Canis lupus familiaris: one gene and its partner. The protein of the gene in region 1 purifies or fractionates together with the protein of each later gene. This does not show direct contact. Links are inferred from orthologs where the notes say so. Each region holds a gene or a part of one and is shown in the gene's direction. Other genes may lie near its edges.

Region 1 (15,389 bases):
TTAAAACATAGCCCGCTTCGACTCAGCTTGTCAGCATTGCCCCAAGGAATTATTACAGATGAGCGCAATGATAGAGCTGCCATGTATTTAGTCAGTCTACACAGAATCAGGATTTTTAGGAACACTATATGCAGGAATAATATGCAAAGATTTATCTATATATGTTAGCAGCAAAGTGTTGTATTTTTTATTCTTATTTATTTATTTTTAAAGATTTTATCTTATTTATTCATGAGTGACACACACAGAGAGAGAGAGAGAGAGGCAGAGACATAGGCAGAGGGAGAAGCAGGCTCCATGCAGGAAGTCCAATGTGGGACTCGATCCCGGATCCCAGGATCAGGACCTGAGCCGAAGGCAGACACTAAGCCACTGAGCCACCCAGGCATCCCCCAAGTGTTTTAAAAAATGTAATTTTTTTTAAAAGATACTATTTGCATTAGCAAAAAATAGGATTCTTTGAGATAAATTTAGCAAAGGATGTATAAAATGTTAATGTGAACAAACAACATTTAAAGAAATCTACACATGAATCTACATAATAAGTAAGAAGACTCCATGTTTTAAAGAAATCAGTTCTCCATTATATGGATCTTAGACTCTGCATTCCCAGGAAGAATCCCAATGAAAATAATTCAATCATGCTGTATATTTTAAATACAGAATTTTTATATATTATTATTATTTTTTAAGGTATTATTTATTTGAGAGAGAGAGAGCAAGAGTGGGAGGGAGAGGGTGAGGGAGAGAGAAACTGAAGCCGACTCTGCGCTGAGCAAAGTCCATGCTGGGCTCCATCCCATGACTTCAAGATCATGACCTGAGCTGATACCAGCAGTTGAACGCTTAACTGACTGAGCTAGCCAGGTGCCCCCACAATTCTTATTTAAAAAAAAAAAAAAATCTTAACAGATATTTTCATGAAATCTAATGAGTTGACAGTTACCGAAACACTCAGGAGAAATGGAAAGAGCATACTGGCTCTCCATGTGTTAAGGCTTAGTGCAAAGAAGCAGTGAGACCAAAAAAAAAAAAAAGAAGCAGTGAGACCGCGTGTGATACTCACGTAAGGCCAGTGGAAGAGTCGACAGCCCCATCGATGTGGAAGGTGGTATGTGGCACGGTGACTGGGCCCCCTACCACCCCTAGGAGGAAGGGTGGCATCTCAAGTTTTGCTGGCCCAGGTTGCTGGCTGTCCACACAGAGCAGGCTCTAATGCAGGACAGGAGGCTTCCGCTGCCCACACAAGTCAACTCCTGAAGCATAGGCCAAATGTGAAAAGTCAGCCTTTAAGAAGCAAATATAGAGTATGGGGGCACCTGGGTGACTCAGTGGTTGAGCATGATCCTGAAGGTCCTGAGATCGAGTCCCGCATTGGGCTCCCCACAAGGAGCCTGCTTTGCCCTCAGCCTGTGTCTCTGCCTCCCTCTCTGTATCTCTCATGAATAAATAAATCTTTAAAAAAACAAAAAGAAAGAAAGAAAAAGAAAGAAAATACAGAGTATGACTTCGAGGCAGTGGAAAAACATTTTATGGGAGTCCTAAAAGTCACAAACCTTAAGAATGAGGTCGGTGAAAGTGACTGCGTTCAAATGACCAACTTCTATTATTGCAAGATACCCACGCTTTTAGAAAGTTAGGCTGCAAAGTGGGAGAATGTATTTATGTTATAAGCCATGCAGAATCACATCCAGAACAAACAAATTAGGAAGGAGGCTTGAAAAAACACTCAAGTGGAGAGACAGATGTGGCAAAGGTGAGACATAGGTGACCAGCAGACACGTAAAAAACGCTGGAGTAGACAGACGTGCTGTCACCGTCCAGTAGGCTGATGGAGTTGCAGTGCAGGTGTCAAACATTCGTCGGGGAGAGCAGAGAAGCAGAAGTCCTCTTCAACCTGAGGACGGCGGAAGGGCCCCCTCTTCCCCCTGTGGGGTTGATGTCAGCATGGCAGGAGGCAGGGGTCCCCTGTCTGCCATCCTTGCTCTCTGAGGTTTTATTTATTTATTTTTAAAGATTTTATTTATTTATTTATGAGAGATACAGAGAGAGAGAGAGAGGCAGAGACACAGGCAGAGGGAGAAGCAGGCTCCATACTGGGAACCTGATGTGGGACTCGATCCTAGGTCTCCAGGATCAGGCCCTGGGCTGAAGGTGGCACTAAACCATGAACCATTCAGGCTGCCCTCCCTCTGAGGTTTTATGCACACAGCACCTGGGGCAGCAGTGCGCTGTCCTTGGTGGGGCCCGCGGCAAATGGAGAGGTATGGGTGGTTTCTGAGCAGGTGGCCCTCGCCGGGACAGGGTTCATGCCTTCCACCAAGGTGCTGGGCGTAGCCTGTGTGGGAGGGGACGGCCCTGGCCTCGCACTGACCCTCAGCCTTGCCCTTTCAATAGACCAGGAGGTAGTCTCTCCATGCACAGCGACCCGTGACCAGCAGTGCCAGTGCAAGCCCGGCTACTTTTGTGACTCTGAAAACTGCGTGGAGAACTGCTTCCGGTGTCAAAGGTCCTGGAGACGTGGGCGTGGGCCCCTCCCGTACCCACAGTTCTGCAGACTCTAAGCCCCCAGTAGTGGTGGAGACCATCCAGACACAGGCAGCAGTGTCTGGGAGGGGCAAGGGCATAGAGGGGCCCAGCGGGGGTAGGAGGGAGCAATAGAGGATTCCCGGGGGAAGAGCTGTCTTGGACGGCGCCGTGTGGCAGAGCAGAATGACCATCGTCACTGTGAATGTCCTGTGGTGCTGTAACAGCGCCACAACTGGGTAGTTTTGAGAAAACCAACAGAAGTGTATTCTCTCACAGTTCTGGAGACCAGAAGTCTGAAACCAGTCGGGGCCGTGCTCCCTCTGCAGGCTCTAGGGAAGGACCCTGCCTTGCTTCTTCTGGCCTCTGATGTTGCCAGCACTCCTGGTGCTCCTTGGCTTACCTGCAGTCTGCTTCTGTCTTTTCGAGGTCCTCTTCTCATGTTTGTGTGTCTGTCTCTTCACATGGCCTTCTGTCTGTCCCAACACAAATTTCCCTCCTGTAAGGATGCCAGTCATCGAGCAGTCTGGTGTGACCTCATTGTAATGTGATCAGGTCTGCAAAGACCCTGTTTCCAAATGAGATCATTTTCTGAGGTTCTGAGTGGGCACGGATTTTGGGAGGACCTTAATGGGGACAGTGATAGTGGCAAAGCCACCTGAGAAAATAGCTCTTGTTTGTGAGGCACGTTGTAAACTAATATGATTCACACTGTTGAACTGTACCTTCTTGTATCTGGCAAGTCTATAGTAAGGACTGCTTTCAGGTCTGGTTTGATTACGGTTCTGGTTTCTATGGATTCTCTTGCATGTCCCATTTTCCATTTCACCTTTGCACTAACTTCTACAGTTACAGCAGGGCCAGTGCTCACAGTCACATTCAGCTCTATGCAGAAACAGGGAGGCTCCCCCTCCCCCAATACACCACAAAGGGTGGGACAGAGCTTTACTCTTCAATGACCAATTTGGACCAGACAGCTGGGGAGATGCCAGGCAGTGATTTCCTGAAAGCTAGTGGGCCATCCTGGGAACTGAGGCTCCTCTAACCCCTGGCCTGTGGGTGGTGAGAAGGATGTTTTGGGCTGTACCCTGGCAGGGAGAAATAATACTCCAGGTTTCTTCACTTTTTCAGTTGTCCTGACCATGTCAGCTCGCCGTGCAATGCCACAAGGGATACAGTTTGCAACACACAGGATACTACAGACACATCAGGTAAGAATTTGATGTCATCTCTTAACTCCAAGTCAGCAAACTGTTCACGTAAAGGAAACAGGTTAGGCTTTGCAGGCCATACGGTCTGTTGTCACTCCTCAATTCTGCTGCCATAGCAAAAGAAGACAGAGTAAATAAACAGATATGTTTGGGTACCATTAAAACTTGACTTGTAGGAATAGGCAATGGGCTGGATTTGGCCCACGGGCCATGGTTCACAGACCTCTTTGAGTAAACAAACTGATACCATGGTGATGAGCTACGGCTGTGTGGGCTGGCATGTCCTGCCTCGTGTCCAGTGCCCCACGGAGCAGGTGGGGAGTGGCATGGCTGGCTTCCGTGAGGCCTGCAATTTTCTCCTGCCTAGTAGCACCCCTTCCCATCTCTCCTTTCATGTGATCCCTAAAGCCATGCACCAGGTCCCTGCCTTCAAGGGGCTCCTCGTCTGTAGAGGGACATGAGGATTTGAGGCAGGCACAAGTGATGCCCGAAGCCTTTGATCTTGTACAGATACTTGGGCTGAGTGTCTGTGCAAGACTCATGCCTGCTTTGATATAGGATCATAGGCAGGGTTTTTTCTTAGTTTTGATAGTTAAAACTGACCCCTGAACAACATGGGGTGAAGGGTGCCGATTCCCCACGCAGTTGAAAATCCATGTACAATGTTTGATTCTGCCCCCTCCCCCCCAAATATGAACTACTAATCACCTACAGTTAACCAGAACCCGTAGTGGTGACACGGAGAGTTGATTCTCTCCTGTTTTGTACGTTACACGTATCCTATGTACTGTATTTTTCCAACAACTTGAACTAGAGAGAAAACGGGATCCAGGGATTTGTAAGGAAGAGAAAATAATGTGTACAGTACCGTACCATATCTATTGAAAAAAATCCGCACCTAAGTTATCCTCACAGTTCAAAACTCAGTTGTTCAGGGGTGAGCTGTATTTATAAAGGTTGGTAATTACTGACAAAATTAGGCTAAAGTCCCTTTGTGTTGGGAGTATCCCCTCCTCGGCGGGGTGCCTTACTCACGCCGGGGGATCTCCTGGTTCTCGCCCTTCATTTATCATTTACTGGCTTCTGTACAGCTGGAGCGCTTGTGTCCCGTGTGAGAAACCTGGGCTCCCCTCTAGACAGTTAGTGGTTTTTTTACCTTTCTGATTTTGTTCTACAGTGAACCTGGCCTTCGTTTTCTTTTTTTTTTTAATCTTTTTATTTATTTATTATTTATTTAAGATTTTATTTATTTATTCATGAGAGACAGGGAGAGAGAGAGAGAGAGAGAAAGAGGCAGAGACACAGGCAGAGGGAGAAGCAGGCCTCATACAGAGAGCCTGATGTGGGACTTGATCCAGGGTCTCTAGGATCACGCCCTGGGCTGCAGGCGGCGCTAAACCGCTGCACCACCGGGGCTGCCCTGGCCTTCGTTTTCTGCGTGGCATGGGGTAGGAGGTCCAGGTTCAGTGTGTCTTTCCAGACGTACATACAAATGAGCCCATGTAGTATTTTGCAGACATCCCCTTTCACCTGTAGGCAGTGTCAGGTGGTTGTAAAGCGAGCATCCCTATGAGCGGGAGGCTTTCCTTCTGTGCAATCTCGGGCCAAGCCCACCTTTACAGCGGGCCTCGACGTCCAAGGCACCGGGTCCCCCAGCTCTTCCTCCATATTGTCAGGCTGCTCTTGGACGTTGGTGTGTCCATTTACCTTGCAGAATTGGCTTGGTGATTTCCACCAAAAAAATTTGATGCGTGTGACTTGCACTTTTAAAGGATATTTTAACACCCAAAAAAAGAACAGATTAGGAAAGATCTAACCTGAGCACAAAGAAAATCTTTGAGTCAAAAAATGGCTTCAGTCAGGACTGGCCGTCCTCTGCCTCCTGCTGGAGGTGGCTGTGACCCCTCACGCCGGAGCTCTGTCCTGGGATACCAGGACCTCTTGCTGCACTCCTGGCGATGCCGACCTCTCTCCTCCCGCCTCCAGCCACCTGAGCAGGATCCCACATCCTCTGAGCTTGGGGTCTTCATCTGTGACCCAGGAAGCATGAGCCTTTTCTGCCTCCCAGTTGGGACGTTCAAGACGATGATCAGCGGGAGAGGGCTTGGGGCCTGGAGAGACTGCAGTGCTGCAGGCCCTCCTGGGAGCGGGAACTTGGCTGTAGCACGTCACTTGAGCAAGGAAAGTATGCTTGACCCTACTCTACCATTCTCTGCTACATCTCCTTCCAGAAAAGAAACCCGAAGGTGGGTCCCTCCAAATGTTTGTGCTGGTCGTCATCACCATCACCATCATCGTCATCGTCGTCGTCGTCGCCCTCATCTTCCTCCTCGTTTACTGCTATAAAAAGAAAGGTATAAATTCACATCAGGTCAGTCCTGGAAAAGCCAGCTCAGCAACCGCATCGGGAGGTCAGAAGTGGAGAGCCGGTGTTAGGAGACCCCGATGGGGTCTTTTACATTTAGAACACAGCTGTGTTTATTTTCTTACTCTTGTGCCTGAGCTCGGAACTCACGCACTGGGGGCTGCCTGCCACCTGCTTCTGGCACACAGGTCTTAAGCCCAGGTCAGGTCGGTTGGCTACAGATGCCATGTCCGAGGTGCTGTGGGCCAAGAGGTGGGGAGAGACCAGTGCTGTGTCCGCATGGGGGTGCCTGGGTGGAGGCAGGGGCCCCCGGTGCTGGCAGAGTGCCCCGAGGAAGCTCACCTCCCATGCTTTCCGCAGGTATGTGGCTCTACCAGAGGCTCATCAGCTTGTTGAAAGGCAAGTACTTTGTCGTGAATTCAGAGCAATTCTTTCCCTCATGGAAGTCCTTGTCCTCACAGGTGCCCTTTTTGTTAATTTCTTCTCTTCTTGGTCTTCAGGAAGGGTGGACGAACAAAGCAGCACTGTAAGTATTGCTCTGCAGTTTGCTTGATGATAGCTCCGGGCCTTGGTGGGTGCAGAGTCCCAGCAGACATCCCGGGGGCGGGAGCGCGGGAGCCCCTGCCTTCCCAGCCTCATCTGCACCTGCCTTGTTAGAGCCCCAGAATGTGCTGGAAGAAGACTTAAATTCTGCAGGTCTAGGCCAGAATGGAAAATAAGGCAGAGAGGGGCAGAAGGCTCTGCGTGATGCCCTGGGGCTGCTGTAACAGGTCATCACACACTGGGAAGCATGAAGCAATAGAGCCTCTTGTCTCCATACCTACAGGCTGGACTCTGGCATCGGGAATGCATGGGGCTGGCTCCTTCAGAGGCTATTGTGGGGGGTTCCTTCCTGCCTCTGCAGTCAGGGCTGGTAACCCTGGTTCTTCGGCAGAGGCATCACCCCATCTCTGGTTCTCATCACGAGTCTATGCATCTCAGACAGAGTCTGTCTCTCAGGAGGACACTGACCACCAGCTTTAGGGTTTGCATTAATCCAGTGTGAATTCCTGTAGTCGGGTCCGTTTTGGGGTACCAGAGGTTAGGATGTGCACATGTAGACACAACACTGGGGTGCTCCCAGACCACTGCCTGTAGAGCACACAGCGCAATAAAGCCAGTTAGATGAATTTTTCATTTCCCTGGAGTGTATGAAAGTTATGTTTACACCATAGTATAGTCTATCAAGTGTGCAATAGCTCAGTGTCTCAGAAAACAGTGTGCATACCCTACTTAAAAGATGCTTTAGTGCTGGGGGGTGCCTGGGGGTTCAGTACTGTGAAGACTATTGCCCAAGAAGTGCAGTAAAACAAGATCTGCCTGTATCTTTGGGGGCCCCCCCTTCAACCCACCAAAGGCTTGAGTTGGGGGGTCTTGGGATGCCCCCCACTAGGAGTTGCTGGCAGAGCAAGGATTTCACCCCATGAAATATTCTCTAAAATTGCATAGGGATGCCTGGGTGGCTCAGTGGTTGAGGGTTTGCCTTTGGCTCAGGTCGTGATCCTGGGGTCCTGGGATCGAATTCTGTTTCGGGCTCCCTGCAGGGAGCCTGCTTCTCCCTTTGCCTGTGTCTCTGCCTCTCTCTCATGAATAAATAAAATCTTTTTAAAAAATCTACATTTCCTGCTTACCCATCAGACAGTTGGCATCCTCCTCCCCTCGGAATATGTGCAGCAGGCTGCTGTGACCAAAATAACTTTGTCTTTGCCCTCTGCAGGTTGAGATACTGTTCCCTTCGAACCCCGAAAATCACCAGCCAGCCCTGGACATAGAAACATTGTTGCTGAAGGAGGGGCTTGAGGAAAGCCCCCACCCAAGGCCTTTGGAGGAGACCGAGGAGGGCATCGAGCTGCAGGATGTGGTGGTCAGAGAGAGCCCCCCAGCTCCAGAGCAGGTGGTACAGACTCCTGCTCTGGCTGTCTCTGTGTCACAGAACCAGAATGAAGTGTTCCCCTCCCTTAAGAGTCTGGAACAGGTACGTGAGCCAGCCAAGGGGGTCTGAGTAATGACAGCCTGTGCTCATGGAGCACTCAGTGTGTGCAGAGCTCGGTGTTAACTGGTGCCATGCATGCTTTTGCACAATTCCTGTGTGAGTTTCCTGGGACAGCTTAAACAACAGGTGTTCCTTGTCTCCGTGTCCTGGAGGCTGGAAGCCCAGGGATGGCGTGTCATCAGGGCTGCATCTGCCCGAGGCTGAGAGGGCCCATCTGTGCCAGGCCTCTGGAGTCTTTGGGGCTCCTTGGGGAAGCGTCACCCCACCCTCTGCCTCCATCCTCACGTGGCATCTCCCTATGTGCAAGTCTATGTCTTAATTTCCCCTATTTGTGAGGATACCAGTCACTGTTGGAGTGGGCCCCCCATGACCTTGTCATAACTTTCCTATCCGCCGTAACCCTGTTCCTGGCTGCAGTCACATACACAGGTTTGGAGTCTAGTGTCCAGGGGGATGCAGTTCCACCCACAGGAGCCCACAGGTGCATGACGCCACAGCCTCTGAGCGCGTGCATGTCTTGGGTTGGCACACCAACACCCGCTAAGTGGCTCTGGGGAGTAGGGCTCTTCAGGAGGAGGAGGACAGAGCCCATGTTTAGGGAATGATGCGGTCTGGCTTCTGAATCCTACAGGCAGGGCACAGGTGAGTCCCAGGGAAGAGGTCCCAGGGCTTCTGTGCCAGATGCCGTGGACCCTGGGGCCCCCTGGCATGGGTGCAGAGGTTGCAGACTGCACTGTGGAAACTGCATTCCTGGGTTGGGTGCTCTTAGGCATCATTTGAGGGAGACAGCCCCTGAGTGTCTTCAGACTCCCCGAGGCTCTGAGAGGAATCAGTACAGAAGCTGGGAGCCCTGCCAGCTCTGAGTGTCAGGAGGCAGGGGGCTCCCTCTCAGGCTGTGCCATGAGGACACCTCCCTTCTTACCCTGTTTTACAGCCAAGCAGCCAGTGCACAGAGCAGGGAGTCGTTTTCTGGGGCCAACAGCACTGGGTGCGAGGCAGAGCTGGGGTCTGAAGGCCTGGCTTTCATGTCCACAGTAGGTAGCCTGACACCGATGGGGAACCTGACCTCCCCCATAGGAGAAGTGGGCTTTGGAGCTGCGGCTCATGGGCAGCTGGGTGCAGCTGGTGTGGGCCTCCACTGGGAGACTGCATCTGAGTCTCCTAGCATCTCACTATGCATTTCTATGGACAAGTGTGCTCTCTGTTAGCATTCCCTGGAGCAGAGCAGGTCACCCCCAGGTGACAAAGTAGAGCTGTTCCCCACCTGCCCAGGCAGGGACCACTGAGCTGCCTCTGGGCCCAGGGCATGTCCTGGGGGACAGTGACCCATAGGACATAAGTGGCCGGTGAGCTCTCTGCCCCCATGGTGGATTCCTCGAAGGACATCACATATCCATAGAGGCCCACCTGCCCCCACCCTGCTCCTTCCTCAAACCAGATTGTGGTTCTGTTTCAGCCTCCTTCTCCTGGAACAATTTTATTTTTTTCCCTCCACAGGAATATGCAAAGAGATATTTTGTAAAAGATACATCAAATGAAGGTACATATTCTGAATTCCTTTTTTTTTTTAAGATTTTATTTATTTGAAAGAAAAAAAAAGATTTTATTTATTTGAAAGAGAATGCGGGGGTGGGGCATGAGCAGGGGGAAGGGAGAGGGAGTGGGGAGAAGCAGAAGCAGACTCTACTGAGCAGGGAGGTCAATGTGGGACTTAATCCCAGGACCCTGAGATCATGACTTGAGCCAAAGGCAAACACTTCACTGACAGAACCACCCAAGTGCCCCTGAATTCCTCATTTATAGCAACTGTTAAGCCTTCATCTTGCTTGGCCTATGTGTCAAGGCCTGGTGTCCTTGTTTCCAAGGACCGTGTGCCAACCTGAGATGCGCTTTTTCACACTCAAGAATGACGTTAGGGGAAACAGCACTTGTCAAACATGAGTTTTGGGGGGGGGTTCATAGAAATTAGATACCGCTTTGATTTTATCATATGTTCATGTCTTTTAAGGAGGAATGAATGGTGGTAGGAATGCTTGTACCCTTGATGAATAGGCCCTTCTTGGTGGTCATCAAAGATTGAGACCTACCACATGCCAGGTGCTTTTTGTATAGTTCATCTTCACAGGCAGCTCTACAAGACCGCCCCATTGTCCAGGCTTAAAAACACGACAGTCTGAAACTGATAGGTTGCAAAACTTGTGCCAGGTCTCAGATCCTAACCGTGGTCCCCAGCCGACACCAGGCCTTCTCAGTCTTGAGCAGCCTACAGCCTCTATCAAGAGATGTTAAGAGAGAGAAGCAGGGCAAGTGAACTGCAGCAGACTGTGGATCCCCGTGCAGCCCCCAACTGTCCCGGATCCTTGGCTCCTTCTCCCAAGCTCCAGTGATGAGCAATAAGCAGGGCAAGAGCTGTGGCCCCACCTCAGTATCCTGGCCTCGTACCCAATCTGTGACATTGGTAGGGGGTCGCACAGGACCTTCTACCTCCTGGGTATGGTGTGCTAGCTGTCGCCCAGTCCCCAGGGGACAGGAGGAGACACCTGTGATTGCACCCCTGGGGAGTAGTGACAAGAGGTGCCACACAGTCCTCCCAGAAATGTAAAGTGGTTTTTTTTTGTTCTTATTTCTTTCAGGTACCACCAGGCTCTATTATGAATTTGAAGAAATGATCCTGGACAAGAACTGGAAATCTCTGATGAGACTTATCGGTCTTGAAGAAAAGGACATTGAAACTTGCGAGCACGAAAACCCAGACAATTTGACGGAGCAGCATCATAAGATGCTCCTCAGGTGGAGGAACAAGCTGGGAAGGGAAGCCTCAGTTTTTAAACTGTTGGCTGCCCTACATAAAATGCAGCTGCATATGTGTTTGGAAAATATTATCAACGTACTACTTGTTGAAGGCATCTTAGGCAGGCATGCAGAGACCTCAGATTAAACTTTTGGCATGGGATTATGCCTTCACACAGGATCTGACCTATGCCAATGTCTACCTTTTGGAAACTTCTCAGTTTTCAGTTAGAAAGAATCATGTGCGTCCATTAACAGTGTCTCACTACATTTTAGTGAGAGTGCTTCCTGCCAAGATTAGTTGTGGGAATCACCCGTGGCCAAGGTGTAACCAGGGGTGAGCAGGTCCTCACTAGATTAACATTCCTCAGGGAACTTTCCCCAAGGGAAATTGTTTTTCTATTTAAAACAATGTAGCTGCTTGTGCTGAAGTCTTTTATGTCCAGGATGTGAATGAAATGCACAGGATATAAATGAAATGCAGTATTCCTCAATCACACCTTAGTGACTGCTTTCAGTCACTGACCACAATAAGCGAAGCATTTAATTTTATTGTAAAGTTAGCATTAGTTTAGTAAGTATAAGTTTTTCTGTTGTGTTTTCCTGTGTTTGTGGTTTTTTTTTTGTATTTATTTTGATACTGTGCAGGAGTGGAGGGCAGAGGGGGAGGGAAAGGGGAGGAGAAAGTTTAAGCAAGCTGCCCAGCCTGATGGCGGGCTCCACTACATTCAAATCAAAAGCCACATGCTTAACCAATGGAGCCAGTCAAGCACTTTTGTTATTTATTTTTAATAAAATTTTTATCTTAAATAATGTTTCCTCTTCTTTCCGGTGTGTACACAACTTTGGGTGTGCTATCCCTGGCAGGGGGTATCGTGCACAGAGGAAGACATGGACCCCCAGGATTTAATTTGCCAGTGGGAGGGCTCTGGCATGGGGGTCCAAAGCTGCAGAAGCCTCTTTTGGTTTGTGTTCCCCAGGGGTCTCTATGTCCAGAAATACTCATGCCTCAGAATGTGAGCTCTGCTCTGCCCTCCTCACCCCAAACATCAGTTCCTGGATGTGTTCACAGATTAGCCTGCTTATTTCCATTCAGTACCAAGCCTTTGACTTCCAGTGAAAGTAAATGTTACAATCACTCTGCTAACCCAGAGGTGGTTCGCTACCAACTCCCTTGTCTCCCAGGCCTCACCCAGGGCTTGCTGCTTTGTGGGGCTCTCCCAGGACCGGGCACTCACCCAACTAATCCAGGCCGTCATTTCGCTGCCCTGTAGACTGTAAAGGCTTCCAGTCCTGTTCTCCCTGGATCTCCAGGCCTCGGCAATGTGTGAGTTCTAAAGCACAAATCCAGTCATGCCTCATCCTGTCAACTTTCAGTGGGTCCATACCATTCTTCACTCTGTTTACAAGATGCTCCAAAAAGGTCAAGCCCTGGCCTGTCCCTCAAGTCCCCGTCTCCTGCCAGGGCTGCTCCAGGGCATTCTGCACTAACAGTGAAGTTCTCCATGGTTTGCTTTCTGCTAGGTTATCTGCTGGATGGTACTGTGACAGGAATGCACTTCCCATCCATTCCAATCCCATCTTTTTAAGATTGTATTTATTTATTCATAAGAGACACAGAGGCAGAGACACAGGCAGAGGGAGAAGCAGGCTCCCTGTGGGCAGCTGGACTCGAGACTCCATCTCAGGACCCCGGGATCACGACCTGAGCTGAAGGCACTCAAACGCTGAGCCATTCAGGTGTCCCCAAATCCCATCTTCTAAGTTTCTTTCCAAGTAGTCCTCCATCCCTTTTCGACCGCCAGCCTGGGGCTGGGGCTGGGGCTGGGGCTTGGGCTTGGGCTTGGGCTTGTCCCTATGTCCCTTGGTGCAATGCTAACTTAAACAGGCACGCGTGGATTCTGTCTTTAATGCCTGTGTCCCAGGGAGGACTACAACATCCTCCCAACACCCCCACACCTCCAGCGAGTCCCGCGCCTCCGCGCTGCCCCACCCCCCCCATCTTAGGTCGGGACACGGACCCTGTGGCCTCGAGGATGCTCCATGACGCCGCGCGTGGCGCAGTAACAACTACAACTCCCAGCATGCCCGGAGCCCGGGCGTCGGGAGTCCGCGGTGGTTGCCTGGCGACCGGGCGTATCCCGGAAGGTGGGGCGGGTGCTGGGCGGGACTTCCGGGGCGGTGGTTGCATCAGATTCTGGGAAGCTGGCATAGGGGCCGCTGGTTTGGAATTTCTAAGATGTCAGGTTCCTCTGGGGAGCAGGGTGAGTGCGCGCGGCGGGGCAGGCGGGGTCACTCCGTGCCCGGGGGGTCGGCGGGTCCCCGACCCGGCAGGCAGGGCGACCCCGGGGCCGGGGGGGTCGGCGGGTCCCCGAGCCGGCAGGCAGGGCCACCCGGGGCCGGGGGGGTCGGCGGGTCCCCGGGGCTGGCAGGCAGGGCCACCCGGGGCCGGGGGGATCGGCGGGTCCCCGACCCGGCAGGCAGGGCGACCCCGGGGCCGGGGGGATCGGCGGGTCCCCGAGCGAGCAGGCAGGGCCACCCGGGGCCGGGGGGGTCGGCGGGTCCCCGAGCCGGCAGGCAGGGCCACCCGGGGCCGGGGGGGTCGGCGGTCTCCGGGGCCAGCAGGCAGGGCCACCCCGGGCCTGGGGGGGTCGGCGGTCCCCGGGGCTGGCAGGCAGGGCCACCCGGGGCCGGGGGGGTCGGCGGTCTCCGGGGCCAGCAGGCAGGGCCACCCGGGGCCGGGGGGGTCGGCGGTCCCCGAGCGAGCAGACAGGGCGACCCGGGGCCCGGGGGGTCGGCGGGTCCCCGAGCGAGCAGGCAGGGCCACCCCGGGCATGGGGGATCGGCGGGTCCCCGAGCTGGCAGGCAGGGAGACCCCGTGCCCGGGGGTGCAGCGGGTCCTGGGGTGAGCCGGTGGGCGGTGAGCCACCCTGGGACCCTTAGCCTGGGCCTGCGCTGCCCGAGCCCCGCTGGGCTCCCGGAGGCCCCTCGGCCACCCCCTCCTCAGCCTCCTCCTCAGGCTTTGCTGGGGTCCTCCAGAGCCCCACCCCGCGTTTCCTGGCGGGACCTCGCTGTACTCTGAGACAGGCAGAGCCCCGGGATTGTTGCAGTTTGCTTCTAGCCTGGCAGCAAGCTGGGGGTGAGCACAAGAAGCTGGGGGGACGCAGACACGCACATGAAAGGCTTGGGATTTTACGGAGGCTTTCATCTGGGGTTCTGCAGACGTTGGCATTGGGCTTTGGCTGGTCAGAGCATTATTACCCCACTTTACTGCTGCCAGGGAGGCCCGGGGAGCAGCTCTGCCCACCTGAGGCTCTGATGCCACCAGGAGCTGGACCAGGGAGTCTACAGGCAGACCTGGGAAGAGCACTGGATCTTTTCCCACTATCCTGCAAGCAGGGCTGTTGCTGCTGGCAGGACCAGAGGTTGTCACCAGGATTCCTAAGTCTGTAGCAAACTTTACATTGGAAAAATGGAGCTAGAGTTCTTCTGCTCTTGCCTGGTGAAAATTACATGCGTGTGTGGCAGCCCGCCCACACTTTAGGCTGTGCAAAGCGTCCTTGGCACCAGGTGGTCCCCTTTGCTCCTTAGGGCTCTGGGGTTCCAAGTAGGGAGCTCTGACCACCAGGGTAACCCAGGGATGTGGGAGGCACCAAATGATAGGCTATCCCACACCAGTATCCACATACCAGCTATGGTGCATCTCACCCGACAAGTGTGCCTGGATTCCAGCACTGTCCCCACCTGCCCTAGAGCCAGGTAATCCTCAGAAGTCCATCCAGACTCCAGTAAAACAGCACATGTTCACAGTGCTGAGTCCAGAGCCAGTGTGGCTGGACTGGAGTCCCAGCTCTGCCCTTTTTCTCACAGTACAGAGGGACAGTATGTGCTACTTAACCCCCTTAAAAGGTCGTCACTCAGAAAGGATTTAGAGCAGCACCTGACACAAGATAGGCACTGTGTTGTCTGGGTTGAAACCTGGAGCTTGTTTCTTTGTTTTGTTTTAATGAAAACGTGGTTTTGCTTCATTTGTGAACATGAATGACGTACTGATTTTTTCTTAATGATTTTATTCATTTGACAGAGAGAGAGCGCGCATGCACAAGCAGGGGGAGCAGCAGGCTCCCCACTGAATAGAGAGCCTGACACGGGGCTCAATCCCGGGACCCTGGGATCATGACCTGAGTGATCCAAAGGCAGACACTTCATCAACTGAGCCACCCAGGCGTCCCTGGTTTTTTCTTTTAATGACTTTAGAAATTTAGGTTTTTGGAGCCTTGGTAAGAATTGGCTTGTTTTTGGAGATTGATCTATAAATTGGAATTAATCACTCAGTATGTCTGGACAACTGATAGATTTCCCTAGTCCAATAAGTTAGGGCAATACCTCCAGACAGTGCTTGGCCTCAGGGGACAGCCCACCTGCTCTTCCTTTACTGCTACCCACCCCCTCATACACACACCTG
Region 2 (16,188 bases), on another chromosome or scaffold:
ATTGGCAGTAGATAAGTGGAACAGAATAGAGAGCCCAGAAATAGACCTCCGTGAATATAGTTAACTGATTGTTGACAAAGGAGCAAAGATAATGCAATAGAGCAAAGGTAGTCTTTTCAACAAATTATGTTGGGATAATTGGATCATGTACATGCAAAAAAATTGAATCTAGACCCAGGTCTTACACTCCTCACAAAAATTAACTCAAGATGGATCATAGACTTAAATGCAAAATCCAAATTATAAAAATCCTAGAAGATAACACTAGAGAAAACCTAAATGACCCTGGGTTTGGCAATCACTTTTTAAATACAAAACCAAAGGGACAATTTATGAAATAAATAAATGATAAGATGAACTTCACTAAAATGAAATATTTTTGCTCTGTGAAAGATAATATCAAGAGAATGAGAAGAAAAGTCACAGACTGGGAGAAAATATTAGCAATAGATAGACACATTGGATAAGGGACTGTTATTCAAAATATAAAAAATAAATCTTAAAACTCAAAAAGAAAACAATCTCATTTAAAAATGGGCCAAAGACCTTCCTGGACATCTTACCAAAGATGACATTCAGATGGCAGATAAGTATATAAAAAGATGCTCCACAGCATATGTCATCAGGGAAATAGAAATGAAAACAATAATGAAAAAAAAAAAGAAAAAAGAAAACAATAATGAGATACCACTACACTTCTCTTAGAATGGCCCAAATCTGGAACATTTGACACCAAATGTTGGCAAGGATGTGGAGCAAGAAACACTCACATACAATGCTGCTGGGAATGCAAGATACCAGCACGTTGAAAGGTTAGTGCTTTCTTATAAAATTAAACATACTCTTGCCATACAATCCAGAAATCCTGCTTCTTGGTATTTACTCAAAGGAGTTGAAATTTGATATCCATACAAAACCTGCACATTGATGACTGTAACAGCTTTATTCATAATTGCCAAAACTTGGAAGCAACAACATGTTCTTCAGTAGATGAATGGATAAATAAACTGCGGTACACCCAGGCAATGGGATATTATTCAGTGCTAAAAAGAAATGAGCTATCAAGTCATGAAAAGATATTCAGGGACTTTAAATGCATATTACTAAGTGAAGGTAGCCAATCTGAAAAGGCTACATATTGTGTGTCCCTACTATGTAACATTCTATAAAAGGCAAAACTAAAAAAAAAAAAAAAAAAAAAAAGGCAAAACTATGGAGACAGTAGATCAGTGGTAGCACTATCTCCATAGGAAGTGGGAGGGGGGCCATTCTATTCTCAACATAGCTACCTCTAGTTACAACAGTCAACAAGCCTGATAGCCTGGGCTCTAGACTACTTTAGACTCCCTGCTTTTGAACTGAAGCTCTGCCAATTATTAAAACTCTGGTTACTTAATTATTACACCACTCTAAGCTTCAGTTTTTCGAATTAGTAAAATGAGGACAATGGTTCCTACAGAGAATTACATGAATTGATGGGTATATTAATATGCATATTAATGAGCATATTAATATACCCATGATAAAATCATAGCTATCATATGTCTATTCTCAAATGGTAGCTCTCCTTGTCAAAGTATCTTTGTAGGCCCCAGGGGAGATATGTGCATGATGGTCTCTCCACTGGAGTCTGCCCTGAGCCATGGGGGGTTAGCCCTATTTTTAACTTCAGTGTTAGGCACTGAAGCAGTGCGTACTCTTCGATGTCTGACTTCTTGCACTTAGAATAATATTTTCTTTTCTAACATTTTATTATAAAATGCTCAGTCAAAAGAAAAGGAAAACCAGAGTGTCTGAACATTTACTTTCTGTTAAGAAAGGGCTCCTCACTGTGGGGCAACAGCATGGAAATAGGTCAACGCAAGTAAGGAACAGCCCCAGTATGACCCTGAAATGCCACATCTGTACCTTGGCTTGGCCTCCATCTGCGTCAGCATCTCCCCCCAGGCCTGGGACATCACTGAACCAGCTGGTGGCCTTGGGCTCTGATGATTTCTCTTTCCCTTGACCTTGATTATCTCTCTCCCTGTACTCAACATATCCCTCTAGTGCTTCATGATGCAGATAACAGATAGGACTCCAACAGACCTAGGAGAAATCAGATAGACATGGAAATGAGAGAAACACAGTAGAGGAATGTGTGATCCCTGAGACAAAAGACAATTAGATCCTGGTTGACAAAAAGAAGAGGGTCAAGGACAGAGCCAATATTTAAGGAACAAACAAAGGAAAGGAAGTCTATCTATAGAGAGACTGACAAGGAATGACCAGAAAGGCGGGAGGTTTTCTGGAGAGGGTTGGCTCCTTTTAGGAAGAAACCGTTTCAGTAAGTGGGGAGGGGAGCAGATCAATGTGTCCAACCAAGATGAGGTATGCCTCTCAGATTAGGAAATCTCATTGGTCTTTTTCCACTCCACTTGGGGAGTTCTGGAAGCCAGGCCTTTCTTTCCTTTGTAGGTGGGAGATTAAGAGTCATCTCTGCTAAATCTGAACAATTTAAAGGAAAACTTTGAACGTACTGACAATGGAGGTTCCCCAAGGAAATAGCTCAACCAGATACTCCACTGAGATGTTCAAAAGAGATTAGACCCATTTGGAAGCTCAGAGCTTCCAATCCACTTTTGTTTGCCTATTTGTTTTAAAATCAACTTTTTCAATGTGTAGTTTGCATAAATAAATGCACTCGTTTAAAGTGTATGGTTCAGTGATTTTTGACAAATATATACTCTCATGTAACTGCTATCTAATCAGTGTGCAGAATATTTCCATAACCTCAAATTTTTTCTTATGCCCCTTTACAATCAACACTTTCCTCTCAGGCAAATACTGATTTCCTTTCTGTCATTATAGATTTATTTTGTCTTCTAGAATGTTGTATAAATAAACCACACAGTACTTTGTGTACAGTAAAATAAACCATATTTGTACTTTTTGTGTGTCTGGATTCTTTCACTCAGCACAGTGTTTTCTTCCCAAACCTTTTGTTATAGAAATGTTCAATCATAGAGCAAAACTGAAAAAAATTTTACAGTAAACACCCATATATCTACCACAAGATTATACTACAGTTGACCCTTGAACAACATGGGGGTTAGGGGTGCCAATCACAGCCAAAAATCCACATACAACACTTTTTAAAAAAAATATTTCATTTTTTAAAAGTAATCTCTACATCTGACCTGGGGCTCATACCCACAGCCCTGAGATCAAGAGTCACAGTTTCCCCCAGCTTAGCCAGCCAGGTGCCCCCATGTATAACTTTTGATATTGTAGTATTACTATTTTTTTCATTCAAAGTTTGTTTGGTATTTTTGTTGGTATGATACTTAGATAATTGGTTGCATTGACTTCTTACATTATATGGTGATGTGCACTATTTCTGACATGTATAGTACACAAAACAAGATCCTTTAGAACAGTTATGCACAATACATGCAATATTGAATTTATACATGGGATCCCAGGATGTGACTGACTGTAGAAAAAAAAGATGGACTAGGCATGTTGAATGTTGGGTGAAAGAATCAGAAGTTATAGAACACCAGTAAATACACATCTTCATGTTCCCCAAGGACCCACCCATGATCGCTTAATGGGTGAACTCCCAGCCTTTCCCTCCAGTACAAACCAGGCTGAATGCAGTTTGCAACCACTTCCAATAACACGGTTTGGGGGGAAGCCACTTATCTTCCAACCTACATAGGTCAAGATATCCTTTGGCTTGGAAACAACAAGCAACTTACAGTTTGGGTTGTATTTTACAATATTAGGAATTATGATCTTAAAGATGTTCACATGATACTGGACCAGAGTAAGATGGCTTTCTCCCTCTTGCTGACATGCCCCAGCTGTGATAATAACCAGCTTGGTGTTTGCAGTCACATTATAGTCTTTGCCAGAGAAAATTTTTGGTGTTCTAAGGAAAAGGCTGCCATGCTGGAGATCCATCATCTCTCCCTTTAATTTGTCTTCCATGACATTAACAAGAGCAAGTTCATCTGCCAAGTCCTTCATTAAGACACTGATGGCACAAGCCATGCCAACAGCACCAACCCCAACAACTGCAATTTTATTCTGGGGGGTTGGGTCTTCCTTAAGAAGATTCTGAATCCTTGAGAGTTGTCATAGTGTACTCAGAACCAAAAGGATTCAGGAGGGCTCATTGGTTGGTGTTGGTGGTGTGCAGGGTTGAGTCTTGAGTCTGGACTTGGAGGCAGCAGCTCTCCCAAGGTATTCCTATGTTTAATTTTTGAGGAACCAGCATGCCTTAGGGCAGTGGTGGCTGCTGGTCCCCGAGGCTACAAAACATTAGCCTGGAGGAGCCCTCCACCATGTCCCACCTTGAACAACTACCTGATAGGTAGATGAGCATGCAAACAAAAACCTGATTGGGTGACAGGCAAGGGTTAATCAAATTTAAACAATCCACACGAAAGACCCCATAAAACCCCCCTAAATTTAAATGCCAGATTAGCAACCCTCTTGGGTTCCACCCTCTTCAGGAGCTTTGTACTCTCAACAAACTTTGCTTTACTATCACTCAATAAACTTTGCTTTGCTTCCCACTACTCTTTGTCTGGTTTACCTCATCATTCTTCAAAGCAGGCAAGACCAAGATCTGCAGGCACTGAAGGAAAAGAAATCCTGCAACAGAACTACCACTTCCTAGGCTCGGGAGGATGATTAGAACTCTAGTATTCTCAGCACTCCAGCCCCAGGTAGATCCTCTGTTCCATGAGTGGGCTGGATGGAAAAAGGATCCTCCACTTCTCAACCACACTTATTCAGGACTTAGCCTTAGTATCAGGTAGTAGCTAGGCGCTTGGTGAGAATTGTTGACATCCTGCTCCTCCCACTGGGATTGTGGGGAGAAGAGGCTCTGTATTCTTGATTGCAGCAGATGGATCTCTGGTGAGTTAGGAGTTTGAAGTGGTCTTGATTGAAATACCACAGATTCTCACTCACATTTCTTATCAAATTTTCATAGATTTTCTTGAATATATGTTTTTTTTCATTTGCTGTTTTCTCATAGGACTATTTCCAAGGCTTTCAATGATTGTTTGTTGTTGGCTTGTTTTAAAATGATTTTCATCAGGAGCACCTGGGTAATTCAGTTGGTTGAGGGTAGGACTCTTGATTTCAGTTCAGATCATGATCTCAGTCAGGGTTGTGAGACTGAGCCCCACATTGGGCTCCAGGCTGAGCGTAGAACCTGCTTGGAACTCTCTTTCCCTCTCCCTCTGCCTCCCACCCCCACTCCATGCACGTGCAAGCTCTCTTCCTAAAAAATAAATAAATAATTTTCATCAGTTTCACTAGGGAGTGGGTCACCTGAGTTCCTCTAGTTGTCATGCCAGTAGTTAATCTCTTGGCATTATTCTTGTAACTTTCCTATAAGCTTAAATTGATTTCAAGAAAAGTTAAGAAATAAAAAAAATCACAAAGTGGTTATTAGGAATAAATAGATTAAAATATAAAGTGCTTTCACATTTGTTATTTAATATTATTCCCATGCATTGATCACAAACACTAGCAGCACTTGCTTGCTCCTATGACAACCAGAACTACTTTAGACAAACACCCTAGGTTCGTAGCAGATTCAGTTACTGAGGAAGAGGACGATTTTACTTTACTATTCAAGTTTCTTTTGTCTGGTCTAAGAATTAAATTGACATATGACAGGAGAACATAAAATTTAATTGTGTACCTAGCAGGCAATCAGGCGAGTGAGGCTTACATGCTATCCAGAGAGGAGAGGGGATCAGAGGTGTGGGACTTCAAAGGGAAGGAAGAGAGTTCAGAGGAACAAAAGAGTAAATGGTAAACAAATGTTTGCTGGGCGGCACAGAAACAATTGGACATAGAGAGGAATTTTAACAAACAGACTTTGCTAAGTTCTTCCCGGTCTAAAACACCTAGTTCATATTATGCTGTAGTTGACTATGGTGATCTCTCCTTTCCCAGGGCAGGTCCTCCATCTATGTTCAGAGATTATATATATAATATATATCATATAATATGTAATCAGTTCTTGCAGCTGTGTTTTGGGAAGTGATTAAGCAATATTTTTCAAACCTGATGATTCTTGGGTATTTAGCTATTGTCCTCCAAAGAGTCATTGTTTCATGTTTTCAAAGATGTACTTTGTGCTGAAGGTTCATGTCAGTTATCCTGTGCTTCCAACACTCACCAATGTTTTTTACCTGATTGATCCGCCAAGGATTGTAGTTTGCTTTAACTTCAGAGTATTTTTATCTTCAATTTTATTTAATTTTGTTTCATTTTGTTTTCATAAGACAGTGTTTCAGCTATGTAATTGGGGCAAACCACTATAGGTTTATGTTGGATAGAAAAGTGAAATGTTACTAATGAGTTGAAATAACCGACTTTTGGTTGCCTATCACTACTGTTGATACATATATTAGAATGTATGTCTCAGAAGATGGTTTCTGTTTAAATTTTTTTTAAATTTTTATCTATTTATGATATCACACACACAGAGAGAGAGAGGCAGAGGGAGAAGCAGGCTCCATGCACCGGGAGCCCGACGTGGGATTCGATCCCGGATCTCCAGGATTGCGTCCTGGGCCAAAGGCAGGCGCCAAACCACTGCGCCACCCAGGGATCCCGGTTTCTGTTTAAATTTATGGTCAAGTTACAACTGAATTCTAACATGGATTAAAAGCTCCACATTAAAAAACATATATATATATATATATATATATCTTGTCCTGTATATATGTATATGTCTTGTTCTTCTATATATATGTATGTATCTTTTTGATATATATATATATCTTGTCTTTCTATATATATATATGTCTTGTTCTTCTATATATCTATGTTCAGATATATATAGATAGATATATAGAAGGACAAGATATATATAAATCTTAACATATATAGGACAAGTTCTTTATATATATATAAAATACAATCAGTTATATAATATATATATTCAGATATAATCAATATATAATCATATATATATTTATATATATAATCAGTCAAATATATACTATCTATACACAGTTATAGGGAGGGTCAAAGTTCCTTCCAGAGTCTTGTTTCTCAAAAATAATCCCCTAAAGTAATCCACGTGCCACAGAGACCCATTTGCGGCCACAGTCTGCTCCCCTACACAGTGGAGGGGATTAACAGCTGGTTGGCTGTGGCACAGGAGTGCTTTAATTCACAGGGGCTCACTGGGGGCTGGTGAGTGGGGGGCTAAGGGGGTGTCTGGGCCCGACCCAGGGAGCGTCGGTCACCAAACCTCCCCAGCATGAACGCCGAGAGACGCCTCGAGGGAGAAAGGCCAATGGAGGCGGGCCAGCAGGGAGGCGACACGTCCGTTTGCGGGCTCAAGCTTTCGGTTTCCTTTTCTCCATCTTGCTCGGGATTTTGGGGCGTCATCGCCAGCGAAGTCGATAGGGCGCAGCTCGAGAAGAGTCCCGCGGTAAGCAGGCTGGTACGTGCCCAGGGCTTGCTCCCCCGGCTCGCGACTCCCCCCGGGCGCGGGCCCACCCAGCCAGCCGGGGAGGGCCTCGGGGGCCACCCCTCCCGCCCCTCCCGCCCCTCGCCGCTGCTGCTGCACTAGCTCCTTCCGGAGCTGACCTGGGGCGGGGGCCGCCAGGCCTCGGTTAGGGGAGCCGACGGGCTCCTGGCGGACGATCCCCGGGTTAGGGTCCTCCCTTGGCTTCCTCCGCCCGGGCCCGCGGGCCCTGCTCGGCCGCCGGGGGCACCCGCCAGGTCACGGTTAGGGGAGCAGACGGCCTCCTGGCGGACGATCCCTCGGTTAGGGTCCTCCTGCCGGCTCCCTCCCGCGGGCGCCCGCCCGACCTGCTCGGCCGCGGGGCCCCCACCCGGGGCTGCCGCCGCCCCCGCCGCCCCCGCCGCCCCCGCCGCTGCCAGGCGCGCCCGGGCCCGCGTAACCCTTGCCCCACATCGAAGCTCCAGAGGACGAGCTTACTCCAGGGGACGAGTAAACGTTGCTTAAAATCCTCTTTGTGCAGGTGGCTCAATTCTTGGGGTAAACTGTTCCAAAGATTTGGCAATTAACTTTCGAAAAGCTGATGATGAGCCTTTTTCCCCCCTCCGTGATTACGTGTCTCTGCAGAAGCAGCCCGCCCGGCAGGAATTTTTACTTTATCGCAACAGTCTGGTGAAGTAGGTCAAGGGTTGCCTTTCACAACAGGGGACCAACAGATCTTGAGAAATTGCAAGGAAACTTCTTTTGCTAAAGTTTGGAATGACTGGGCAAGGTGTTTGTAAAGCCGTCCCATGGACTTGCGCCCCGCGCCCCGCCTTGCCCCTCCTTCAAAAGGACTGGGAAGGAGACACACACATAGGCGGAGGGAGAAGCAGGCCCCTGGCAGGGAGCTGGGTGGGACTCGATCCCGGATTCTGGAATCATGCCCTGAGCCCAAGGTCTCAACCTGGTCTCAACCGCCCAGCCACCCAGGCTCCCCAGAGCTGGGAAATGTTGATTTCAAGATGTACCTGCTTGATAGTGTCCGGATTTGGGCAGAAGGACAAGTTCTTTTTAAACATTACAGGGGGGAAAAAGGAAAAACATTACAGGGGAAAGCAATAGAACAAAGGCCACGGAAGAGTGTTTTGGCCCTAGGGAACAGGAAATGAGTAGGGCGCGGGTTAGTAAAAGGCCCTAAAACCCCGAATTATTTTCATTTGTTGTTGACATTTGAAATTTACTTACACGATGAGACGGTAATGACAACAAAGAGATGGAATATGTCACCGACAAACCCGGATAATCTAAAACTAAGACTGGGCTCTGGTGGGCTTGGCCTAGTTTAGGTAAGATATTTCAGAGAAGTGGAACAGAATTTTTGGTATTTTTCCCTCCATGGTTCCCCCTAAGTAATCTTACAAAAAAAAAAAAAAAAAGTTTCATTGGGAGAAAATTTGGCTGAACTCCAAAACTACAAAGAAGGCAAAAGAAAAGACTCGGGTTTGGAAGGGGATCTTGAATGTCACACGGAAATTTTTACTTTTCACGTATTTTTTTTAAAGGTTTTCTTTATTTATTCGTTAGAATACACACACACACACACACACACACACACACACAGAGAGAGAGAGAGAGAGAGAGAGAGAGAGAGAGAGAGAGAGAGAGGCAGAGACACAGGCAGAGGGAGAAGCAGGCTCCAAGCAGGGAGCCTGTCGTGGGCCATGATCCGGGTCTCCAGGATCAGGCCCTGGGCCGAAGGCGGCGCTAAACCAGGCTGCCCTCACTTTTCATGTTAACGTTTGTTTTGCTTTCAGCTTTTGAGATGCGTATCCTGATTAAAATGGCTTTTTCTTACGACTTCACGTTTTCTATTTCTGTTTGTAACTGACATTTGCACTTCGCTTTAACACTATATTCCTTACTAGCTTGCACCCATTTTCGACGGTGAAGCCGCCTGCAGGTCTGCAGGAGTGGGGTGCACCTTGCACCCCGCGATTGGGGGAGTGGGTGGGAGTATAGTCTCGGGCAGGGTTTTTGTGTGTTGTTTTTTTTTTTGGTGGTTTTTTTTTTTTTTTTTTCCGGCAGTAGCAGGGGCTTAGTGGAAGCTCGAAACCAAAATAGCTTTGGTCCTGGGGCACTTGAGTCACACAGCCCCGCTCCCTGCCAGGACATGGGGGCACAGCCGCAGCACCCACTCATTCTCCGCCAACAGCACGTAATTTCCCCCGAGTTCCACGTGGCGCTTTGCTTAGACAAAGAAGAGTTTCGGGACTGCCCCACGTACGCTTGCGGAGTGTTTTTTAGGTGCGGGGGCGGAGAGTTCTCGAACCGTGTCTCCTGTGGGCTGCCTGGAAGAGGCGCGCAGAGACTTAGCTGGATGCGGCCGTCGGGAGCCCGCTGGAGGGTGCACCTGCCGAGCGGGGCGACGCGGACGCCCAGTCTCTGGAATACCCGCAAGGCCTGCTTCCCGGAGCTGCGAGTCGGTCAGCGGCGGGTCTCACCCCCGCCCGAGGTCGGGCGGGAGCCGGGCTGCCCGGGCGTGAGTAGACTAAGAATCCCGTCCGCCCCTCCTCTCTCGACCTGCGCGTCGTGCTGGAGTCGCCTGGGCTCCGGGGGTGGAAGGACACTGTCCCCGACCCCCACCCCCACCCCCCACCCCCCGGAAAAGGATTGAACCGCTTTTTTAGCCCTTCTGGCCTGTTCTGGAGCCTTCTGGGGACTCACCTGCGGCAGTCAGATCACCAGGCATGTCACTTTTTTAAAATCTCAGGAATGGATTCCGTTTGGTTCTTTCTTTCTTTTGGGCCCCAAAGGCTAATTAAACTCGTGTTTATGGACTGAACTGCCTCCTCTCCTTTGATTTGATGTAATCCTACCAACATTATTGAGCTCCTATGGGCCAGGCCGAGTTCTGGGCGCTGGGGACCTAGAGATGGATCTGAACTTGGTTCCTTACCCCCCAGGAGCTCACAGAGCGGTTAGGGGAGACCGAGCAGTTACCTACACAGGTAGGTAGCCGTCCCAGGGGCCGCTGACAGCCACGAATGGGGGGAAGACTGTTGGGCCACGTTGGAGAAATAATGACAGATAACAGAGGGCAACGCCTACGTAATTACACTCATTCTTGCTTTCCTTACTATATATCAGTGAGATAACAAACATTATCGTTCTTGCAATGCCCTATTTCTCCTTTATGTTCAGCTCCTGTCACCTCCTCTCAGAAGCTTTCATAACCCACCACCACGTGTCCCCTTTCTCTATACTTTCATACACACGGTGGCTGTCTTTACGCTTACCATATGATTGCACTTAACACTCTGTATTGTAAATACTTTTCTTCAGAAACTTTTCAGTGAAGTTGTATTGTGATTATCTGTGTTTAAGTACCTGCAAAGTGAATAGAGAAAGCCCTCAGGAGCCCATTCCCTAAGATAAGAGAAGGTTGCAGTGTTTAATGTCTTTTTCAGACATTTAATGCACTTACATACAGACTTCTAAGTGTTTTAAAATATTTTTTTTCTTATTTTGTATGATGCTGTGTCTTCAATTGCATATCAGAACTGGTGTTTATTTTTTTCTATTAACATCTATGCTTTTCTCAGATGGAATTTCATTCGCCTCTAGCATCAGTGTTTCTAATGAAAGATTTTTTTCCTAATGACCACTTTCCTTGTTTTTGAGAACATATGTATCCATAATTTCCATTTAATTCATCTGCTTGTTCATATGGCCCCAAAGTTTTTTCTCCCTCAATTCTGGGTTCAGAGAAGTAATTTCTTCTTTGACTCCAAGTACATACAAATGAATGAATATATATGTCTATGTGTGTGTATGTATATATATGTGTGTATATATATATACATATACACAATATGTATATATATTCTTTGCAGATGAAACTGCTTCTTTCTCTGATGATCTCTGCTTTTAGCCACTTTGTCTTTATTTAAATTTTTGTGCAAAACAGGCAAACAGCTTCTTTGTTGTTTTCCTCCTATTGGGGTTATAATCTTTGGTAATTTAGTACTTAGAAGAACTAACCTTCACCCATGTGATACCACATTCATCTATATATTCAAGATGGTTTGTGTCTTCTGCAGTGAACTCTTCAATTGGAGAAATTAACCCACTTTATTTACATTAATATCTATATACTGAAATTTTTTTTAATTTTTATTTATTATTTATGATAGTCACAGAGAGAGAGAGAGAGAGGCAGAGACATAGGCAGAGGGAGAAGCAGGCTCCATGCACCGGGAGCCCGACGTGGGATTCGATCCCGGGTCTCCAGGATCACGCCCTGGGCCAAAGGCAGGCGCCAAACCGCTGTGCCACCCAGGGATCCCTATACTGAAATTTTTCAATGTAATTTTAAAAAATCCTCATAGCTACTTACTCCAAGGTTTAAAATGTTCTTCAGGCTAATGGCTTCCTTCTATTATTTGATTTTATAGGTGGGAACCCAAGCTTCCTTATCTAGCTGTCAAATTCTTGAGCTTTTTCTTTTTTTTTTTTTAAACTTCTTTTGGATCTTCCATTTAGCTTACTATATCTTTTTTGTTTGGTTTTGGTTTTGGATTTTACTTGAAGCTTCCAGAAAGTATAGTTTTAATAATCATTAATTTTGTTCTAAAGAGTAGGGACATGACAAATCTTGTTTGGATACTAACTATGAATAAACCAAATTCCTTGCAAGAATGACCAAAGCTTGATTCAAAGTTGAATAAAATAGGGATCCCTGGGTGGCACAGCGGTTTGGCGCCTGCCTTTGGCCCAGGGTGCGATCCTGGAGACCCGGGATCGAGTCCCACGTCAGGCTCCCGGTGCATGGAGCCTGCTTCTCCCTCTGCTTCTTTTTCTCTCTCTCTTTCTATCATAAATAAATAAAAATTTATTTAAAAAACAAAGTTGAATAATATAAATCAATAATAAGTGAATTCCTTCATTCAGCATTTACTGAGCACCTACATTTACTTAGTCTATCTTTTAGGTGGGTTGTCAACTGGAATGTCAAGGAACCTAGAAAGTGGGAGCAGACAGGAGATCAGAAGCTGGGTACCATTTAATAGATACCAGAGATAGTGATGGGGCTGGAGCAAATGGGGAATTTTTATTTTCTTCTGTACTTTTCTCCATTTTCCAGGTTTTCTTGTAGCACACAAGTAGTACTTTTTGTAATTAGAAAAAAGAATGCTGTGTAAAAAGAATTGCAAGATCTGTATATCTCTGGTATTATAGGTGACTTATGATTTTGAACAGGACTATCTCCTGATGGGCCAACCTTGGAGAATCCATTATATAAACTGAGCAAATATACCTGCTTGGTTGAATTTTTAATTCAAGCTAGTCTTGTATAAATGGGCTTCAGGGCAGAGAAATGTCTGCTAAATATTTTATTTTAGTGGGGCATAATTGATACCTTGGACATAGAGGATTGTTTCTTTTTTTTTAAGATTTTTATTTATTTATTCATGAGAGACACAGAGATTCAGGCAGAGACACAGGCAGAGAGAGAAGCAGGCTTCCCACTGAGCAGGGAACCTGATGCGGGACTCCATGCAAGACTTGATCCCAGCACCCCGAGATCAAGCCCCGAGCGAAAGGCAGATACCAACCGCTGAGCCACCCAGGCACCCCACAGAGGGTTGTTTCTTGAGCCTTAGATTCCTTTGATAAAAACTTAGAGAAGGATTGTATATTTTCCTGATTGTGATTGCATGGTGATAAAGATGACACTAAATGGTTCAGATACCTACAAAGAACTGAGGCTAGGTCACAGCCCTCCTTTGCAGTACTTGGGATTAAGATCTGATCTCTGAACTCAGGCTTTGCTGAAGCATTGAAATTTGGAATCTTGCTCAAACTCAGCTTTGCCTGTTGTTGTTTTGAGGAAATTGAAGCCTCAGAGTAAATTGATGAATGTAGTAAATGCTTCACACTGTCCTATGGCTGTTTCTCAATAACATGAGTGAAAAAGTGATAGCTCATGGACAATTAGTTGTGTCTTATACCATCTCATACAAGGTATTAGTAATTTTGGTGATGTCCTATTGAGGAAAAAATTCTTTAAATTTAGGCACTTTTGAGGCCATCATAGGAGATTTATACCACACACAGAGGACTGGCCCAGAGGTTTGGCAAAAATGAAAATCCTGAACATAAATCTTGTAGTTTTAGTAATTGTGATAAGTGCAAAGGATAGAATTTTAACTAAAGGAACAGGAGATATACCTTTTGTTAAAAGGCCAGGGGCTGTCCGGTGAGTCTGGCTAGAGACACTGGATTTGGCCTGTTCAAGATGAGGTCCTGCCAGCATGTAGGATGCCCTGCATGGCGGCTCACCAGGATCTTGCAGTCACACTGTAAGCCATTCTGAAACAATTGCATTGTTGTTCCTATATTTACAAAGCTTCCTTTCACAAGCTGTTTCCTGGATCTAACAGCCAGGTTCCAAGCATGATATCTACAGCAACACCAGCTCTGTCTTGCTTCATTGTAGGTTACGAAAGGATGAGTAGGCATCACACATGTGCGGGCTTGCTGGAGCTGTGTAATCATGACCAGTCTGTTCTTGGGGGGGTGAGCTTGACAGGCCTGGCCAGATGCACCACAGCCTAATGAACATGAAGGAGGACCTACCTATCCTCAAGGACTTTACCACATATGATAGATACCCAACTAGAATAAGATAAATATTGGAAGAGAGTAAAAACAGTGCTACAGAGCAGTGGGAAATGACCTGACTTAGGGATCAAGGTAAGCTTATGGAAGAGAAGCCTTGAAAGATGGGATAGAATTCCAATAGGTGGAGACTGGGAGGAGGAAAGGGGCTTTCCAAATGGAGGAAAATACTTAAACAAAAAGGTTGGGACAGAAAAGCTCTGTCCAGAGAACACTGAGATATTTATTTGTCATGAGTTAAATTACAAGTCGGGCAGAACTCTTAGGTATTCTTGGGGAGCTACTCTTAGGTACTTGGGCTACGTTGGAGAACTTTGCCCTCATGGAAGTTTAACTTTGGTTAAGATGGAATGGGCCATGGCGTACCTGGGTGCCTTAGTCGGTTAAGTGTCTGCCTTTGGCTCAGGTCATGATCCCAAGTCCTGGGATTGAGTCCCACGTTGGGTTCCCTGCTCAGTGGGAGTCTACTTCTTCCTCTCTCACTACCTCTCCCCTAGCTCGTGCATTCTCCTTCTCTCTCTCTCAAATAAAAAAAAAAAGTCTTTAAAAAGAAAGATGGAGTGGACCATTGCATTAAATGGATTTACTTTTATTGCGCCTGGTGATTCTGGGTATGTTTTTGTTGCCAAATGGATGTTTCATACTCTCCATCTAGATCCTTTCTTTTTCTGTGGTTCTTTCATCCTCTCATTTTCTACAACTTCTGTGCAAATGTTACAGATCAGGGAGGTGATTGGAGGTCATGTTATGTTGGCATTTGTGGGAGCTTCCCTGAGAGTCATGGGACTGAGCCTCATCAAAGAACTTTATAAAAGTATCTTCTAATTTTATGTCATTTTATAGTTGAGATTATCTGTTGTTTGTGGGCAATTTGCTATAAGTGAAATGATGACTTGTGAAGCTAAATAATGTTTTAATGTATATTTTTAGCTACTGACGCATAATAATGGTCAGTAACATCTCAAATTGGAAAGTGTTCATGGCTTAGCCTTGAGCTCAGCCTACATGGTCATCTAGACTATGTTTGAGTATGTATCTGCAACATTTCAGAAATCAGGAACCACATGATGATCTATTATTTATAAACCTCATTTTAAATATCTCTCTGTGTGTGGGGGTGTTATGCAAAATGGCATTTCATGCACTATCTTAGGTTTAAAATGTCTCAAATGGAAGAAGAAAGATGGGTTCATTATATTAGCTGCTTGAATTGTTACACACACAACCCACCTCCACAGATTCTGTACACAGAGAAGGAAGGTGGGTTCTGGTTTGAAATGACATCACAGAACTACATGAGATAGCCACATTCTTTTTGCCCAGGATCATGTAACCCCTTCTTGATCCTTTCAGAGTCTTTTGGGTGACTCTTTTAGGGACTTTATGTTCATGTTTCAGTGGGTATTTTCAGACACCTGACAGTTCCTTGTTTACATGCTAGTTTCTGCAGCTGGCGAGGCTGGCTATTCTCCATCACTACCCAGTTTTATGGTGTTGCTGGGAAATTACATTTACATTCATACTATGGCCATGCTTGTTTTCATTGCCATGCCATGGCTTTGCTTCAGGTAGAGAAGCAGTACAAAGAATGGAATATTCAGTATGTCTTTGGATAAGTTAAGGTATGATGGGAACTAGTCATGCTGGTGGCCGTGTTACTGATTACAGAGAATGTCATGTACTTTGGATACCAGACACTTTGGAGGCAAAGTTGACATTCTGTGAGAAAGATTGAGAAGCCTGACTTAAGTTAACCACATTTTACTGTCACCTCTTGGGGTCAATGCTGGGTACTAGGGAGGTATGTCCATAGCACTGTGATGATACAAAGAAGTTATTGGCCAAGTCCGTGTGAGTTCTTCCCAGGAAAGTTTTACACAGTATGAGACCTGAGAAGTGTTTTTGCTAGACAGGAAGTGGAAGAAGGTATTCCAAGCAAAAGCATAGAGGCATAGGAAAGAGCTCTGTGTTGGGGTTAGGTGGAAGCCAAATGTGCCAAGTGTGTATTAATGAGAGATGGGGCAGTTGCTGGACCA

The links.
Region 2: the proteins of tumor necrosis factor receptor superfamily member 10D-like (region 1) and CFLAR purify together in Homo sapiens (affinity purification with western blotting; 5 studies listed by BioGRID and IntAct, with this or other methods). This does not show direct contact. The link is inferred for Canis lupus familiaris from reciprocal best matches to the Homo sapiens genes TNFRSF10A and CFLAR.

What each region holds. Positions count from the first base shown.
Region 1 is NC_049239.1:47,459,887-47,475,275, reverse strand, and holds the end of tumor necrosis factor receptor superfamily member 10D-like, read left to right. Parts: intron 1-2,397; coding exon 2,398-2,509; intron 2,510-3,657; coding exon 3,658-3,737; intron 3,738-5,968; coding exon 5,969-6,091; intron 6,092-6,462; coding exon of another isoform or gene 6,463-6,501; intron 6,502-6,563; coding exon 6,564-6,628; intron 6,629-7,858; coding exon 7,859-8,116; intron 8,117-9,068; coding exon of another isoform or gene 9,069-9,146; exon of another isoform or gene 9,147-9,168; intron 9,169-9,631; coding exon 9,632-9,674; intron 9,675-9,833; exon of another isoform or gene 9,834-10,406; intron 10,407-10,767; coding exon 10,768-11,072; 3' UTR 11,073-11,524; downstream 11,525-15,389. Other genes in the region: CARS1 (cysteine--tRNA ligase, cytoplasmic), read left to right, coding at 13,164-13,188. UniProt on the Homo sapiens protein: Receptor for the cytotoxic ligand TNFSF10/TRAIL. The adapter molecule FADD recruits caspase-8 to the activated receptor.
Region 2 is NC_049258.1:10,119,606-10,135,793, forward strand, and holds the start of CFLAR (CASP8 and FADD-like apoptosis regulator), read left to right. Parts: upstream 1-7,248; 5' UTR 7,249-7,468; intron 7,469-9,775; 5' UTR 9,776-9,954; exon of another isoform or gene 9,955-10,010; intron 10,011-10,152; exon of another isoform or gene 10,153-10,216; intron 10,217-10,236; exon of another isoform or gene 10,237-10,479; intron 10,480-13,996; exon of another isoform or gene 13,997-14,227; intron 14,228-16,188. UniProt on the Homo sapiens protein: Apoptosis regulator protein which may function as a crucial link between cell survival and cell death pathways in mammalian cells. Acts as an inhibitor of TNFRSF6 mediated apoptosis.